Struthio camelus: one gene and its partner. The protein of the gene in region 2 interacts with the protein of the main gene of each other region in a pairwise test. Links are inferred from orthologs where the notes say so. Each region holds a gene or a part of one and is shown on either strand. Other genes may lie near its edges.

Region 1 (7,062 bases), on a different chromosome or scaffold from region 2:
GCAGAAGTCTTTCATATACCTAACAAATTTTAAACTAGGTTTAAATTTTCTTAACATAATATTTTACAAAAAAATCACCATTTTATCTTTTCTTTCTTAATTTCAGAGGAAATATTTTAAAACATCCATTTGACCTCAGTCTTTTCAATTCAAAACTAGAATATTAAACTAGGAAAGCAAAGTGAAATTAATTGAAAACTATCCTAAGTTATCCAAAATGAGAAAAATACAATCTTAATAAAACACTGTTAGGATCTGTTCAGTTGGACCATCTGAGATTTTTTCATTTTGTGTATTTTTGCTATCTTCAGATAGCATACAGAGGATACAGATATTAGATAGCATACAGAGGATACAGATATTAGAGCCTCTGACTTCAGTATTCTCTGGTTACTAGAGTCCTCTTCAACAACAGCTATGACGGAAATTTAAAAGACATGCCGCCATAGTTGACTGCTCCCCCCCCCAATGTTAAACAACATGATAAAAACATCATTTCATGACCCTATGCAGAGACTTTTGCCTGCTGTTACACAAAATATATATCACTATTCCTTTACCAAGTCTTTGAAACGATAAGCAGGGAATAGCATACTTTTTCAGAGCAGAAGCAAAATAGTATTACTGACAGTGCCACTTGCCTCAAGGGCTCTGACTAGCACAAGTGACATCAACGAGTCTCTTTAATTTTCTATCTGAGATAAAAAGATGATGAACAGAAACTTGAAGCAAAGGAGCCACGCGCACGCTTTGGACAGCCTCACCACATAGAGCTATATTTGAAAAGTGGTTTGCCACCACCAAGTTTATAAATTTCCATCTGAACATGTTGAAGCTCAGAAGATCCTTTCAGCCGCAGTTTCCACCATTAACCAGGAAAACTTTACATTCATTTCCCTGTTCTTTCAAACCTTAAAACAAGACAAATTGGTCAAGAAATAGAAAACTAGCATTCAACAACAAAAGAAAGCCTCCACCAGGGCTTCTAAGAAAAATACTATTTACAGAAATATTATACATTTAAAAATTGACATTCAATTATTTACTGCAATTTGCTCCCGTTCTAGAACTATATTTTAAATAATCTATTTTATAAGAAACAATTTATATATAGATAACTTATATTTAGAGATGCTTTAAAATATTGATAACTTGGGTGCAAGATAAAATAACTCATAATGGTTGTCATAAATACATGCTCACTCTTGCACATCTCCTTGACTTAACTCCAGCCACAATCACTGCCCATTTCACTTTCCTCCTCTTTGCTGCCTTTCTTCTTCCTATTTCATGCCCTAAACAGAACTCCCTTCTTTGCAGGGAAAAAAAGACAGTAAATGCAGATTGCTAGATAATTCGTCCTGTTTGCATGTTTTATTCTTGTCCTCTGATACATTTGCATATTCTGTTCAGACTGCACACTTTCAAGAGAGTAGAACCTGCATTTTAGTCTGTGAAGTTCCCAGCCTAAAAGGGTTGCAACAATAGCTGGTCTCTCAATGTTTCCTTAATAACAATAACAATGTGTTCCACAGTTTAATTTCTTCTCGCTTCTTTAAAACCATTAACCAGAATACAGACATAAGAACACACTACATCCACAGGGTGACATGCAGTAATTGGTCTGAAAAAGTATCCTTTATCTATTTAAAGTCATAAACCTTTATTCATGTTATAGATCAAGGGCATAAGAACTCCAAATGAAGGACTGAAAGTTTAGGGAAAGCACGTCTTTTCACCTTTCCTTCCCGCTTAAGTTACCTTCTACTAAAGAGAGAAGATTCAGAAACGTCAGGTCCAAAATTTCAAGTTTGTTAAGAAGTACAATTCACAAACGTTTTATGCAACTTTCCTCTTTGAAGCTCAATTAAAATTCCAAGTTATAAACACTGTGCTTTGCACACCAAACACTGTTCACTATGACAGAAAACAAATGTACAAGTAGAGTTTCATTGTCCAGATCAGGTAAATATCCAGTATCTTTTCTATCTTAGAGAACTGCAGCATAAACAGAAGGACACAGGTGGTTTTGAATTGTTGCTCTTTAGCAACACATCCAAAAGCTATCTCAGCGCTTTAAACAAACAACACTGGGAATGAAAAAAAAAAAGAAGTACTTAGTTCATCCCCAACTTCAATGAAGAACACGTATCCTTATCCACTTGTCCACTTCTGCCCTTAAAACATTGTGGGCAAGTACAGAAGAAACTGCACAATAACACATGATCTTCCCCTATCACATGCCTAGCAGTCCGCTCATTTCACTCCGATAACTCTGCTCAGTCCCCGGGCACGAGCTCGGCCGTTACTCGGGGACCTCCGCACATCTGCTTTCTGGCACCCACCCCGGGAAAGCGTCTCTCCTTTCGGGCGCTACGAGCCCAACAGACCGAGCAAAGGCTTCTCCCCCCCCGCCCCCCCCCCCCCCGCCCCGAGGACAACCCTGCTGCAGGCGCACGGGCTCCCCGCAGCGCAGCACAGCCGCAGCCTGCGGAGGGCCCCGGCGGCAGGATCCCGCGGCGGCGGCGGGCGGACGAGACTCGGCCGGGGCCGGGGCCGGGGCCGGGGCCGGGACCCCCCCCCCCTCCCGCCGCCGCCCCCCCGACCCGGCCCGGCCGCCGCCCCCCGGCCCGGCGCTCACGCTCGAAGTCGGAGTCGGAGTCCTCGTCGCCGCGCTCGGGCTCCTCCTCGCCGTTGGACTCGGTCTGCATGGGCTCCCCGTCGAAGTTGACCCCCCTGCGGCCGCCGCCGCCGGCCGCCGCCGCCGCGGCCTCCTGGTCGCGGGCATCCCGCAGGCGGGCGAAGTAGTCGGCGGCGAAGCCGAGGAGGTCGGACGGCCGGTGCCGCAGCACCTCCACCGTGTAGCCCTGCAGCAGCTCCGTGAGGCCCGGCGGGATCTCGATGCTCATGGCGCCGCGAGTGCGGAGGCCGCCGCCGCCGCCTCCCGCCGCGGCCGCTGTGGCGGTGGCGGGCTCGGGCCTCCCTCGCGGGGCGCTGACTGACTCCCGCCGCTCCGGTCACGCCAGCCGCGCCGAGGGGAGGGGAAGGCAGGGGAGGGGGGAGGGGAGCGCCCCGGCCGCCGCGCTGCGCAGGCGCGGCCACGAGCGCGGGGCCGGCGGCCGCGCACGCGCCGAGGGGGGAAGCGCGTGCGTCACAGTGAGGCGCGGCGCGAGCGCGAGCGGGAGCGGCGGCGGCGGCGGGCGCGAGGGCGGTGGCGGGGCAGTGCGCAGGCGCGGCGCGGCGCCGAGGGGAGCAGGCGCGAGGCGGGCGTTCTGGCGGGAACCCTGAGGCGCCGCGGGGCGCGCGGGCTCGTGCTCGTGCTCGTGCTCGGCGCCTCGAGGCCACCAACGGCCGCGGCGCCATGAGCAACGGGCGGCCAGCAGCGTGCGGAGCGTCAAAGAGGCTTTGCGTGGTGTTGGCGAATCTGACTTTGACGTTATTCCCGGAACGAAGCTAAGGGCTTTGTGTAGTGACGAGAAAATACAGGCTGTGGAAGCTGGTGGAGACTCTTGCTTCTCGTCATCCGGCATCTTCAATATGTAGAAGTATTTATAGCGTAAGGAAGGTTTTTTTACAGCTTTTTTCAGGTTAGTCACCACATATGTTAACTTATTTTCTTTCCCCTCTCCTTTCTGCAAAGCCTCAGTGTTGGTGTATATGTTTCCAAAGAGCAGGGATGGAAGAAGGAGGTTTTCTTTGGTTTTGACTGGGATTAGGTTTTGGCCCTCTTTGAGCCCTCTAGTTGCTCGTCAGAATAACTCAGTTAATAAATACTCTTAAAAGCAGCGAGCGCAAGAGGAGTCAGCAGGTCTTTGTACCTCTTGGTAAAATCTTTATAAAGCCCCAGTGTCATCATCATGACATGGTGATAATGGCATTGATCTACTTCATACCGCACATGTGAGCGTGGTAAAGATGAAGTTTTTCTGAAATGTGAAGTATTTCATCAATTGCTCCTATGTGTGAGCAATGGAGATGCCTGTTCATATGTTGGCAAATGAGTTTTATTCAGATCGTTGCTTATATTCCTTGTAAAAAATGTACACGCTTCGCGCTGTTATCTGTTTATATGTGCAGGGAAGGTTTGGCAGGTGCCCAGTGGTAGACTACTCACTGTGTGGCATGGAGCCATCCGCCCTTAAGATTTGGAGTTGTTGGAAAGCTAGTCTTGGAAGGAAACAGGCCTGTACAAACAGGAGTCGAAGGGAACAGGGATGTTGGCTTGGTGACGCCACTGCATGTTGTCAGTGTAAATATTTTTATTTAATTCTTCTTTTGTTTCAACAATAAAAGGGCAGAAATTGACATGTACTCAAAATACAGTTTTAATTTACAAGCTCAGAATTGGCTGAGGCAATTTACTGTGTGTTTTGTTTCTGTTTGCTCATGTGCCAAAAGGTCCCATCACATATCCAGATGGTTCTTACCACACTCCCATACAAAGATAGTCTGTTCATCGCTGTTGCATGAAGGGCACAACTGAGGATCCCAGAACACCGTATTCAGAGCTTTTTCTGACTATTTTCTGTGAGAGGGGCCACTGGGAAATTTTGTGGCTCTTATTCGGCACCCACTGTCTCTGTTACAAGATGTTCTTTGTAATATGGTTCTCATATTTTTATGTAGGGTAAGGTTACTTCTGTTATCCATACTTTCTGTTATCCATACTAAATTAACAAATTAGAAACAATCATAGGAGGTAGATTTGCCACATCTCATCAATTTATCTGGATTCTGGAGCTGTTTCCGTTTCTGTTGCTTTTTACAGCAGGCACAACAAGCTATATTCCTTTTCTTGAAAGATAATTCATGACAGTTGTTGCTTTTTCATGTCACCCCTCTCTTACTATCTTTCTGATGGTCTCAAACAATACCAGAGCACGCTGCACCTGCTCGATGTGCATACTTTATCTGCTGATAAGGAACTGTTACAAGGAAATGGTTTTGATCAATGAGAAAACCATATTTTGTTAGTTTCCACAAAAAATATATTTCAGATTTCTGATGAGATCTTCTTTCTTTTGCCAGTTCGGTGCCAAAGATGTTATTGCTGGTAAGGAGGTAAAAATGGAATTTAAAAAATGCTGTGAAAATGAAAAAAGAAAATAAAAAATATAAACGTAAAGAACAGAAAGCTTTGGCAAGTAGGGTCAGGAAAGAAAGAGAATCGGCAATTGCAAGGGAAGACAATTATTTTTCTTTCCCAGTCTCTTGCACAACAGCCAGCCACCTGACAATTGCCTGCTTTTGGCATTACTCAGCTCATGTATCAGCTTTTAACATTTGTTGATAATTTTCTCTCATTTGTGCCTGTGTATATAAATCTGGTTATTTATATGAAAAAATGTGTTACCAGTAAATATTGTTAAGTCTCTGAAGAGCTACATTGTGTTAGCCTTCTGATATTTATATGTCCACATGTAACTAATCAGCTTCACAGGAACATAAACAGTGAAGGTCTGTTCAGCCTCTCTCTGAAGGTCAGTGCACAAAATAAAGAGCATCCAAGGTCACATGAAGCATATTTCCAAGCTGTTTTATACCACAGTTTGTCACATTTCTTTGTATACTTTTTGTTTTGTAACAGTCAGAATTGATGGCACGTTTATGCAAGAGACTTGTCTGTGATCAAGTTAATGGTAATACTGCATGCTGTGCATACATATAACTCATCATAAGCTTTTCTTTCTCACTAGGTTTGCATTAGCTTTTTAATTATTATAATAATAAGCACCCACATTAAAATAATACTAGAAAAGATATTAGGAAATGCATTTTCGGGCTTAATTTTGTCCCCTCTATAATAATGTCTTTAATTTACACAGCATGACCAACACTTGTTTTTCTCCACTGGGTCCCTGGTTTACTCAGCACATGATATAGAATTAGAGTTGAGTGACTGATGGATCTGGCCCCCAAAGTATTTCCATCAATTATTTTTAGGATCATATTTTCTCTTTTTTTTTTTTTTAATAACTGAGAACTATTCCTATATTTTTCTTGTACTCTTGCTTTTATGCTCCTAAATGTTGAGGCCTCTTCCCCTCACTCTACCTATCCTAGCCAGTCTTATGTAATTTTGGAGCACAGTTAGTGAAACTATGATGGAACTTCAGTGTTTGTCCTGCCAGGAGGAGAGGTGAAGTTGCAAGTTAAATGTCAAAATAGTCTGCGTAGTCTTGGCACTGGAGAAACATAATCAGATTAACCCTCCAGACTGGCTCTTTAAAAGTAAAATAAATCCTGTTATAACAGGTAATAATTTACTTCTCAATAAACATGTCAGCACCAGCCAGAGTTCAGATGCTATATCAACATATGTACATCTTGGATTAATTACGTTTGCCTTCAAATTCACTACAAGTAATTCAGCACAAGGATAATGTGAGAACACATTAAGTATTCTGATGGTTGATATTAGAAAACAGAATCTCTTGTTTAAGGGTAGGTGGATTTATTATCATGAGCATAGCTCTTGCGTGTTATCGTAGGTGACACGCTAGCAAGCCCTTTAAAACACATATATTCCAAAACAGTCCTGAGTAAAAGTCAGCTTTAGGGCCTTCTATAAACAAAGTGAAATCCTGCCTGCTGAATTGTGGAATTCATTGCTGTGGGATGCTGTTGAAGCAAAAAGTGAGAATTCATGAGGAACAGAGTCAGCAGTGGCTTTGAAATTGAGAGATTGGCTGCAGCTTTTGGCTTTAAATTATCTGTTGGTTCCAGGTAGAAGGAAAGATCATCTATAGTTGCCCTGTTTCTTATATCACTTTTCTAAGCATCTGCTAGTGAGCACTCTTGGGACAGATCATTGGGCTTGAGTACCCTTTGGTCTGACCCACTTAAGCTTCATGAATTAATCTAGTCAGGGTCCAGAGCATCTTAACACTGTAGGTACTATTTTTTATGCATTGTCCTATACCAGGATGGTTCATATTAAGAAGTTTTAAGCCAATATTAAATAATTCAAAGGCCACATTAATAAGTATAAAAAACATGATAAAGTCAAATAAGTTAGGCATCGCATTTGTGACCTCTTAATCAGATCTGCTTGCCATTTTC
Region 2 (7,689 bases):
AGGGGGGGGTGCGCAGACTTTGTCCCTGGGGCCGGGGTGGCAGCGACGCGGGCGGGGACAGGCCACGGGGACACCCCCCCCCCAGTATGGACCAGTATGGCCCATGCCCCCACCGGCCCCGATATGGGGGGAACAAGGGACTCTAGGGGATGTGGCACCGCTGTTAAGGACAGTGCCATCGGGGGACATGACACCGCCACGGGGGGACATGACACCGCCACGGGGGGACACACAGACCCCCAAACTGGTGTCCCCAGTGGCCACCAAGACCCCAAATCAGTGTCCCCTGAACGCACAAGCCCTGCTGATGTCCCCAGTGCCTGCAGGGACCCTGAAACTGGTGTCCCCAGTTCCCCCTGGACCCCCAGAAAGTGCTGGTGTCCCCAATGGCCACCGTGACCCCAAAACCAGTGTCCACCAGGACCCCCAAAACCAGTGTCCCCAGGACCTGCCTAGGCCCCCAGACCAGCGTCCCCAGTACCCTCCAATACTCCCAGACCAGTGTCCCCAGCACCCGCCTGGGCCACCAGACCAATATTCCCAGTGCGCCCCAATACCCCCAGACCAGTGTCCCCACCGTCCCCCAATACTCCCAGATCAGCATCCCCAGCGCCCACCTGGGCCCCCAGATCAACGTCCCCAGTACCCCCCAATACCCCCAGACTAGAGTCCCTAGCATCCACCTGGGCCCCCAGACCAGTGTCCCCCAATATCCCCAGAACCAGCATCCCCAGGACCCACCTGCCTGGGGCCCCAGACCAGCATCCCTAGTGTCCCCCAATACCCCAGAACCAGCGTCCCCAGTGCCCGCCTGGGCCCCCAGACCAGTGTCTCCAGTGTCCCCCAATACCCCCAGAACCAGCGTCCCCAGCATCCGCCTGGGCCCCCAGACCAGTGTCTCCAGTGTCCCCCAATACCCCCAGACCAGCGTCCCCAGTGTCCACCAATATCCCCAGAACCAGCGTCCCCAGCACCCGCCTGGGCCCCCAGACCAGCGTCCCCAGTGTCCCCCAATATCCCCAGACCAGCGTCCCCAGTGTCCACCAATATCCCCAGAACCAGCGCCCGCCTGGGCCCCCAGATCAACGTCCCCAGTGTCCCCCAATACCCCCAGACCAGCGTCCCCAGCACCCGCCTGGGCCCCCAGACCAGCGTCCCCAGTGTCCCCCAATACCCCCAGACCAGCGTCCCCAGCACCCGCCTGGGCCCCCAGATCAACGTCCCCAGTGTCCCCCAATACCCCCAGACCAGCGTCCCCAGCACCCGTCTGGGCCCCCAGACCAGTGTCCCCAGTGTCCCCCAATACTCCCAGACCAGCGTCCCCAGCACCCACCTGGACCCCCAGATCAACGTCCCCAGTGTCCACCAATATCCCCAGACCAGCGTCCCCAGCACCCGCCTGGGCCCCCAGACCAGCGTCCCCAGTGTCCCCCAATACCCCCAGACCAGCGTCCCCAGCACCCGCCTGGGCCCCCAGACCAGCGTCCCCAGTGTCCCCCAATACCCCCAGACCAGCGTCCCCAGTGCCCGCCTGGGCCCCCAGACCAGCGTCCCCAGTGTCCCCCAATACCCCCAGACCAGCGTCCCCAGTGCCCGCCTGGGCCCCCAGACCAGCGTCCCCAGTGTCCCCCAATACCCCCAGACCAGCGTCCCCAGCGCCCGCCTGGGCCCCCAGACCAGTGTCCCCAGTGTCCCCCAATACCCCCAGACCAGCGTCCCCAGCACCCGCCTGGACCCCCAGATCAAAGTCCCCAGTGTCCCCCAGTACCCCCAGACCAGCGTCCCCAGCACCCGCCTGGACCCCCAAAGCCTGCTGGTGTCTCCAGCACCCCGGGGACCCAGGCGTCCGGGCTGCCCCCCCGCTGACCTCGGGACCCGCGTGGGGGCGGGAGGAGGCGCCAGAGACCCCCCCGCCCCCGCTGCACCTGCCGAGCCCCGCCCCTTTCCCCAGGCCCCGCCCCATCCCCATGGCAACCCCCAACGTGCCCCGCCCCCGTCCCCATGGCAACCCCTGCGCGCCCCGCCCCTTCCCCCCCACCTCCGCCCCGTCCCCATGGCGACGCCCACGTACCCCGCCCCTTCCCCGCGCCCCGCCCCCGCGCCCCTGGCAGCCCCCGCGCGCCCCGCCCCCGCGCCCATGGCAACCCCTGGCATGCCCCGCCCCTTCCGCCAAGCCCCGCCCCCCCACCGTAACCCCCTCCCCCGGGGCAAACTGCCCCAGGGTCCCTGTGCCCTCCGGATCCGCCCCCGCCACCCCGGGGGTCCCTGCCCAGTCCAGCTCGGTTCAGCTCGGCTCCCCCCGATCCGGTTCGGCCTCCTCCCCCCCCCCCGGTGACCCCCGGTTGACCCGCGCTCAGCCTGGTCCCCCCCCCCGGTTCGGCCTGCTTCACCCCCGGCTCCAGCCCGGCCCGGTTCTCCTCAGCTCGGTGGCCCCCGATCCAGCTCGGCCCGCTTCCGCCGGTTCCGGTGCCCCTCCTCCCCGGTCCAGCCTAACCTAGGGCCCCCCGGGTCCAATTGCCCCCGACTCAGATCCCCTCGGTCCCACCCGGTTCCGCCGGGCCCGGCACCCCTCATGGTCCGGCCTGTCTCGATTCCGCCGGTCCCACTTCGTCCCAGCTCGGTCCCGCCAGATCCAGCTCGACTCGGTTCCGCCGGTCCCAGTTCCCCCCCAGCCCCGCCCGGTTCCCCTCCAGCTCATCCCCCTCCCCGGTCCAGCCCAGCCCGGTTCCGCCGGGCCCAGTTCCCCCCGGCGCAGCTCGGCCCGGCCCACCCTCGCCCGGTTGTCCCGGTTCGGCCCGGCTCGGCCTGCTGCCACCTGAGCCCGGTTCCCCCCGGCCCGGTTCCGCCCGGTACCCGCCGAGAGAGGGAGGGAGGGCGGCCGGCCCGGGGCGGCGCGGCGCCGGTACTCACCGCTCTCCAGCTCGCCGCCCTTCTTGGCCGCGGCCGCGTTGCCCATGTCGGGCCCGGCTCGGCTCGGCTCGGCTCGGCCCGGCCGCCCCGCTCCCCGGCGGACCGCCCCGCCCCGCCCCCCGCCGCCCATTGGCGCCGCCGCGCCGCCGGCGCCGTCCCATTGGCCGCTCGCCTCTGACGCCGCGCCTCGCGCGCCCGCCCCGCCGCAGCCATTGGGCCCGGCCGCCGCCGCCGCGCCGCCTTCCATTGGCTGTCCGGCCCGTCCCTCCGGCGCTCGGCCCGCCCCCGCCAGCCGCCCATTGGCTGCGGCGGGCTAAAAATAGAACCCGGGAGGGTTGGGGGCGGGGGGGGAGAGAAGGTCCATGGGAGGGGCGGGGCGTCAGCTGAGGGGGCGGGACCAGCGGTGATTGACAGTAAGTGGGGAGGGGCGTGGAGACAGCTGGGTACCGGGGGCGGGGCGATGGGAGGGGAGGGGCTTGGAGGGCCAGGCGGGTGGGGGGAGGGGCTAGGCGTCCCTCCCCCCCCCCCGCTTGGCGCACCTCCCCCACCTTCTTGCCCCACCCCCCGTCGGGTTTGGGGCCCAGGAGCCCCGAGGGGAGCGGGGCGGCCCGGGTTTCACCGTGGGGCTGCGCCTGCACCCCCACCCCCAGCCTGCATCAGCCCCCGGCAGCAGGGCGGGGCTTCCCGGCTCCCGTAGTGGCCGGCACCGCCTTGCCCCGCCCCCGCCGCCCCGCCCCGCCAATCCCCGCGCCGCCCGCCGCCGCCGCCGCCGGGAGAGGCGCGCGCCCGCCGCTTCCCCGCCTCCCGCTCGCGCGCCGCCGCCAATCGGCAGGCTCTTCCAGGCCGCCAATGGGGAGGGTGGAAGGGAAGCGGCTGCCCAATGGGAAGGGCGAGGGGGCGGGGCGAATGGCGGCCGGGGCGCGGTGCGGAGCGGCGCAGCCCCGACACGCGCATGCGCCATGAGCGGGCGCCGGGCCCCGGGCGCTGTTCGCGCATGCTCCCCGCGCATGCGCGCGCCCGGCCTTGCACACGCGGCCCTTGCACACTCGCCCCGGGGCTGCCTAGCCTTGCACGGGGGCTCCTGGCACACCGCCCTTGCACGCCCATCGTGCGCGCTCACGTTCCGGCTTTGCGCCAGAGCTCCTTGCACGCTGCTCCCTTGTGCCAGCTCCCTGTGTGCTGGTGCACCAGGCGCCTTGCACACTCAGCCCTTGCACGCTTACCCTTGCTTCTGTACCCAGCTTGCACGGGGCTCCTTGCACACTTGGCCCTCACAAACTTGCCCCAGATGCTCACAGCCCAGCCTTGCATGGGAGCTCCTTGCCCGCATGGCCCTTGCACACTCCCCCAGCCTACTCCCGCTCTCGCCTTGCACTAATTACTGGCACTAATTACCCCTCCCCCATTGTTGACTACAGACCCCCCCTCCCCAGTGAAGCCATTTGCATATGCTAATTATAAGCAGGGCTAATGATAGCCAGCAGCAGGGCTCTTCCTCATCCCCCCCTGCTGGCAGGGGACATGTGACCTACACGTGTGACCCTGCTCGTGCATGGCTGCATGCACATGTGTGTGATGGTGGTCACACGTGTGAGAGCCTGCTCACACGTACGTGGCTGCACTGACACACGTGTGATTGCACACACGCCTGTGTGGCAATCCGCCCACGCACGTGCAAATATGTTTTCATGACTATGTCATGCATGATGGGGGTCATGTGTGAGGGAGCGTGTGCACATGCGTGACCTTTTCTGTGCAGCAGTGCGCTCACGTGTCCGTGACCACGCTGGTATGAGTGCGAGCGCGCGCGTGCACGTGACACTGCTCGTGCGTGCACAGGGCCGTGTTCACATATGTGTGCGTGTGCCAGCTCACACACGTACACGCGTGTGCTCACGTGTGCGAGGCCCTGCTCAGGCGTGTGGCTGGCCGTGCTCACATGTGCGTGCGTGTCTGTGCTCACGCGCGTGTCTGTACATCGGGTGGGGCAGGGGCTGCCAGGACATCTGAGCCCCCTCCCCCAAAGGAGGAGGGGGGGCCTGCCCCTCCCCCGTTCCCGTAAGTCAGGCTGGACTCCGGGCGGGGGAGGGGGCGGGGCCTGCCCGTGACACCGGGGTGACCCTTGACCCCCGCCCTATCCAGCCCCCTCCGTGCTGTCTGTGAATGGCAGGCCAGGTTTTGCCCCTCACTCCATTCCCAAGGGTGGATCCAGGCCGGGTTTTACCCCCGCTCCCCTCCCAGGGCGGATCCAGGTCGGGATTTACCCTCCAGTCCCCTCCCAGGGGGTAGATCCAGGCCGGGTTTTACCCCCGCTCCCCTCCCAGGGCGGATCCAGGTCGGGATTTACCCTCCAGTCCCCTCCCAGGGGGTAGATCCAGGCCGGGTTTTACCCCCGCTCCCCTCCCGGGGGCAAATCCGCACCAGGTTTTCTGCCTGCCGCCAGGGCGGGAAGAGGCTGTTGCCCCGCACCGCTCCCCCCTCCCGCCCCCGTTACCGGCTTCCTCACACGGTAAACCCTCCCCCCACCACGTTACCGGGCACCTCACGTGATTGCCCCCCCCCTTTAACGATACCCTCATGCTCTTCCCTCCTCCGTAACGGTCCCCTCATCCTCCCCCCCATAACGGTCCCTGTAACGGTCCCCTCACACCCGCCCCCCCCATAACGGTCCCCTCATCCCCCCCTGTAAAGGTCCCTTCACACCCGCCCCCCCCCCATAACGGTCCCCTCACACCCGCCCCCCCATAACGGTCCCTACATCCCCCCCATAACGGTCCCTGTAACGGTCCCCTCACACCCGCCCCCCCCATAACGGTCCCTTCATCCCCCCCTGTAACGGTCCCCTCACACCCGCCCCCCCCATAACGGTCCCCTCATCCCCCCCTGTAAAGGTCCCTTCACACCCGCCCCCCCCCATAACGGTCCCCTCACACCCGCCCCCCCATAACGGTCCCTTCATCCCCCCCATAACGGTCCCTGTAACGGTCCCCTCACACCCGCCCCCCCCATAACGGTCCCCTCACCCCCTCCCCCATAACGGTCCCCTCACACCCGCCCCCCCCATAACGGTCCCCTCATCCCCCCCATAACGGTCCCCTCACACCCGCCCCCATAACGGTCCCCTCATCCCCCCACCATAACAGTCCCCTCACCCCCTCTCCCATAACGGTCCCCTCACACCCGCCCCCCCATAACGGTCCCCTCATCCCCCCCTGTAACGGTCCCCTCACACCCGCCCCCCCATAACGGTCCCCTCATCCCCTCCCCCATAACGGTCCCCTCACACCCGCCCCCACCATAACGGTCTCCTCACCCCCCCCCCCCATAACGGTCCCCTCACACCCGCCCCCCCCGCCCGGTACCGGCGGCCCTGTGGGCGGGGCCGCGCGGCGCCCCGCCCCCCGGTGAGTGACGCGGGCGGGGCGGGGCGGGGCGAGCGGTGCTCGCCGCGGGGGGGGGGGGTGGCGCTGCCGGGGGGGGGGCCGCGCCGCCCGCACCGCCCGCGCCGTCGCCGCATGGAGCTGCCCCCCCGGGCCCGCGCGCCCCCGCAGGTACGGGCGCCGCCGGGGCGGGGGGGGGCGTGCAGAGCCGGTGGGGGGGCGTGCAATGCGGGGGGGGCGCCGTGTAGACCCGGGGGGGATGTGCAAAGAGGAGGGGGGTCGTGCATCGCGGGGGGGGGGCGCCGTGCTGACCGGGGGGGTCGTGCGATGCGGGGGGGGGGGGACAGCCGGTGCGGGGCGTGCAATGCGGGGACCCGTGCGGGTTGAGCGACAGTGTGCAATGCGGGAGGGGGGGGCGCCGTGCAGAGCGGGGGGGGCTGTGCAAAGAGGGGGGGGTATCATGCAATACGGGGGGGGGCGTGCAAAGCGGGTGGGGGCACCGTCGGTGCAGGGCGTGTAATGCGGGGGGGGATTGTGCAATGAGGGGGAAGGCGCCGTGCAAACCGGGGGGGCACCGTGCAAACCGGGTGGGGGGCACTGTGCAATAAGGGGGGGCAGCGCCGATGCGGGGCGTACAATGTCGGGGGGGGGCGCATAGCAGACCGGGAGGCCGTGCAGTGCGGGGGGGGGGCCGTGCAAACCGGGGGGCGTCATGCAAAGTGGGGGGGGCCGTGCAATATAGAGGAGGGCATCGTGCAGTGGGGGGGCACCGTGCTGTCCGGGGAGCACCGGGAGATGCGGGGCGGGGGGCATGAAAACCAGAGGGGGGGGTCGTTCAATGCGGGGGGGGGCCTCCGTGCCATGGGGACCCGTGTAAAACGGGGGGGGGGCTAGCCAAGTCGGGGGAGCGGGGAATGGAGCCCCCCCCGGCCATCAGGAGTGCGGGGGGGGCCTGTGCAATGGGGGGGATTGCAATGGGAGGGGCGCGCAGTGCGGGGGGGCAGCGGGGAGGGCGCATATTCCAATGGGGGGGCTTATTTCGGCCCCCCCGGCCGACAGCTCGAGGAGGGGGTCTCTTCCCCCCCCGCAGCCCCTGGACCGGGGGGGGCACCGCCCCCCCCCACTGCAGCAGCGGGGCCGGGTGGGGGGGGGGGGCACCCCCGGTACCGTAATGTCTAGAGAGGCGGAGCCGTGAGACCGCTCCGGCCACGGTGAGGGGGGGTCGACGCCCCCTCCCGGTACCGTAATGTCTGGAGAGGCGGAGGCCCGAGATCGCTCCCGCCGCTGAGGGGGGGCGACTCCCCCCTCCCGGTACCGTAATGTCTGGAGAGGCGGAGCTTTTAGTTCGCTCCCGCCTCTGGGGGGTTTGTTCCCCCCCACCCCGGGTACCATAATGTCT

The links. The genes of interacting proteins can lie anywhere in the genome.
Region 1: the proteins of cAMP-dependent protein kinase catalytic subunit alpha (region 2) and PRKAR2A interact in a protein complementation assay, tested with the Homo sapiens proteins (2 studies listed by BioGRID). The link is inferred for Struthio camelus from reciprocal best matches to the Homo sapiens genes PRKACA and PRKAR2A.

Annotation. Positions count from the first base shown.
Region 1 is NC_090955.1:10,250,310-10,257,371, reverse strand, and holds the start of PRKAR2A (cAMP-dependent protein kinase type II-alpha regulatory subunit), read right to left. Parts: upstream 3,084-7,062; 5' UTR 2,910-3,083; coding exon 2,642-2,909; intron 1-2,641. UniProt on the Homo sapiens protein: Regulatory subunit of the cAMP-dependent protein kinases involved in cAMP signaling in cells. Type II regulatory chains mediate membrane association by binding to anchoring proteins, including the MAP2 kinase.
Region 2 is NC_090972.1:4,065,373-4,073,061, forward strand, and holds the start of cAMP-dependent protein kinase catalytic subunit alpha, read right to left. Parts: upstream 3,032-7,689; 5' UTR 2,957-3,031; coding exon 2,911-2,956; intron 62-2,910; exon of another isoform or gene 1-61.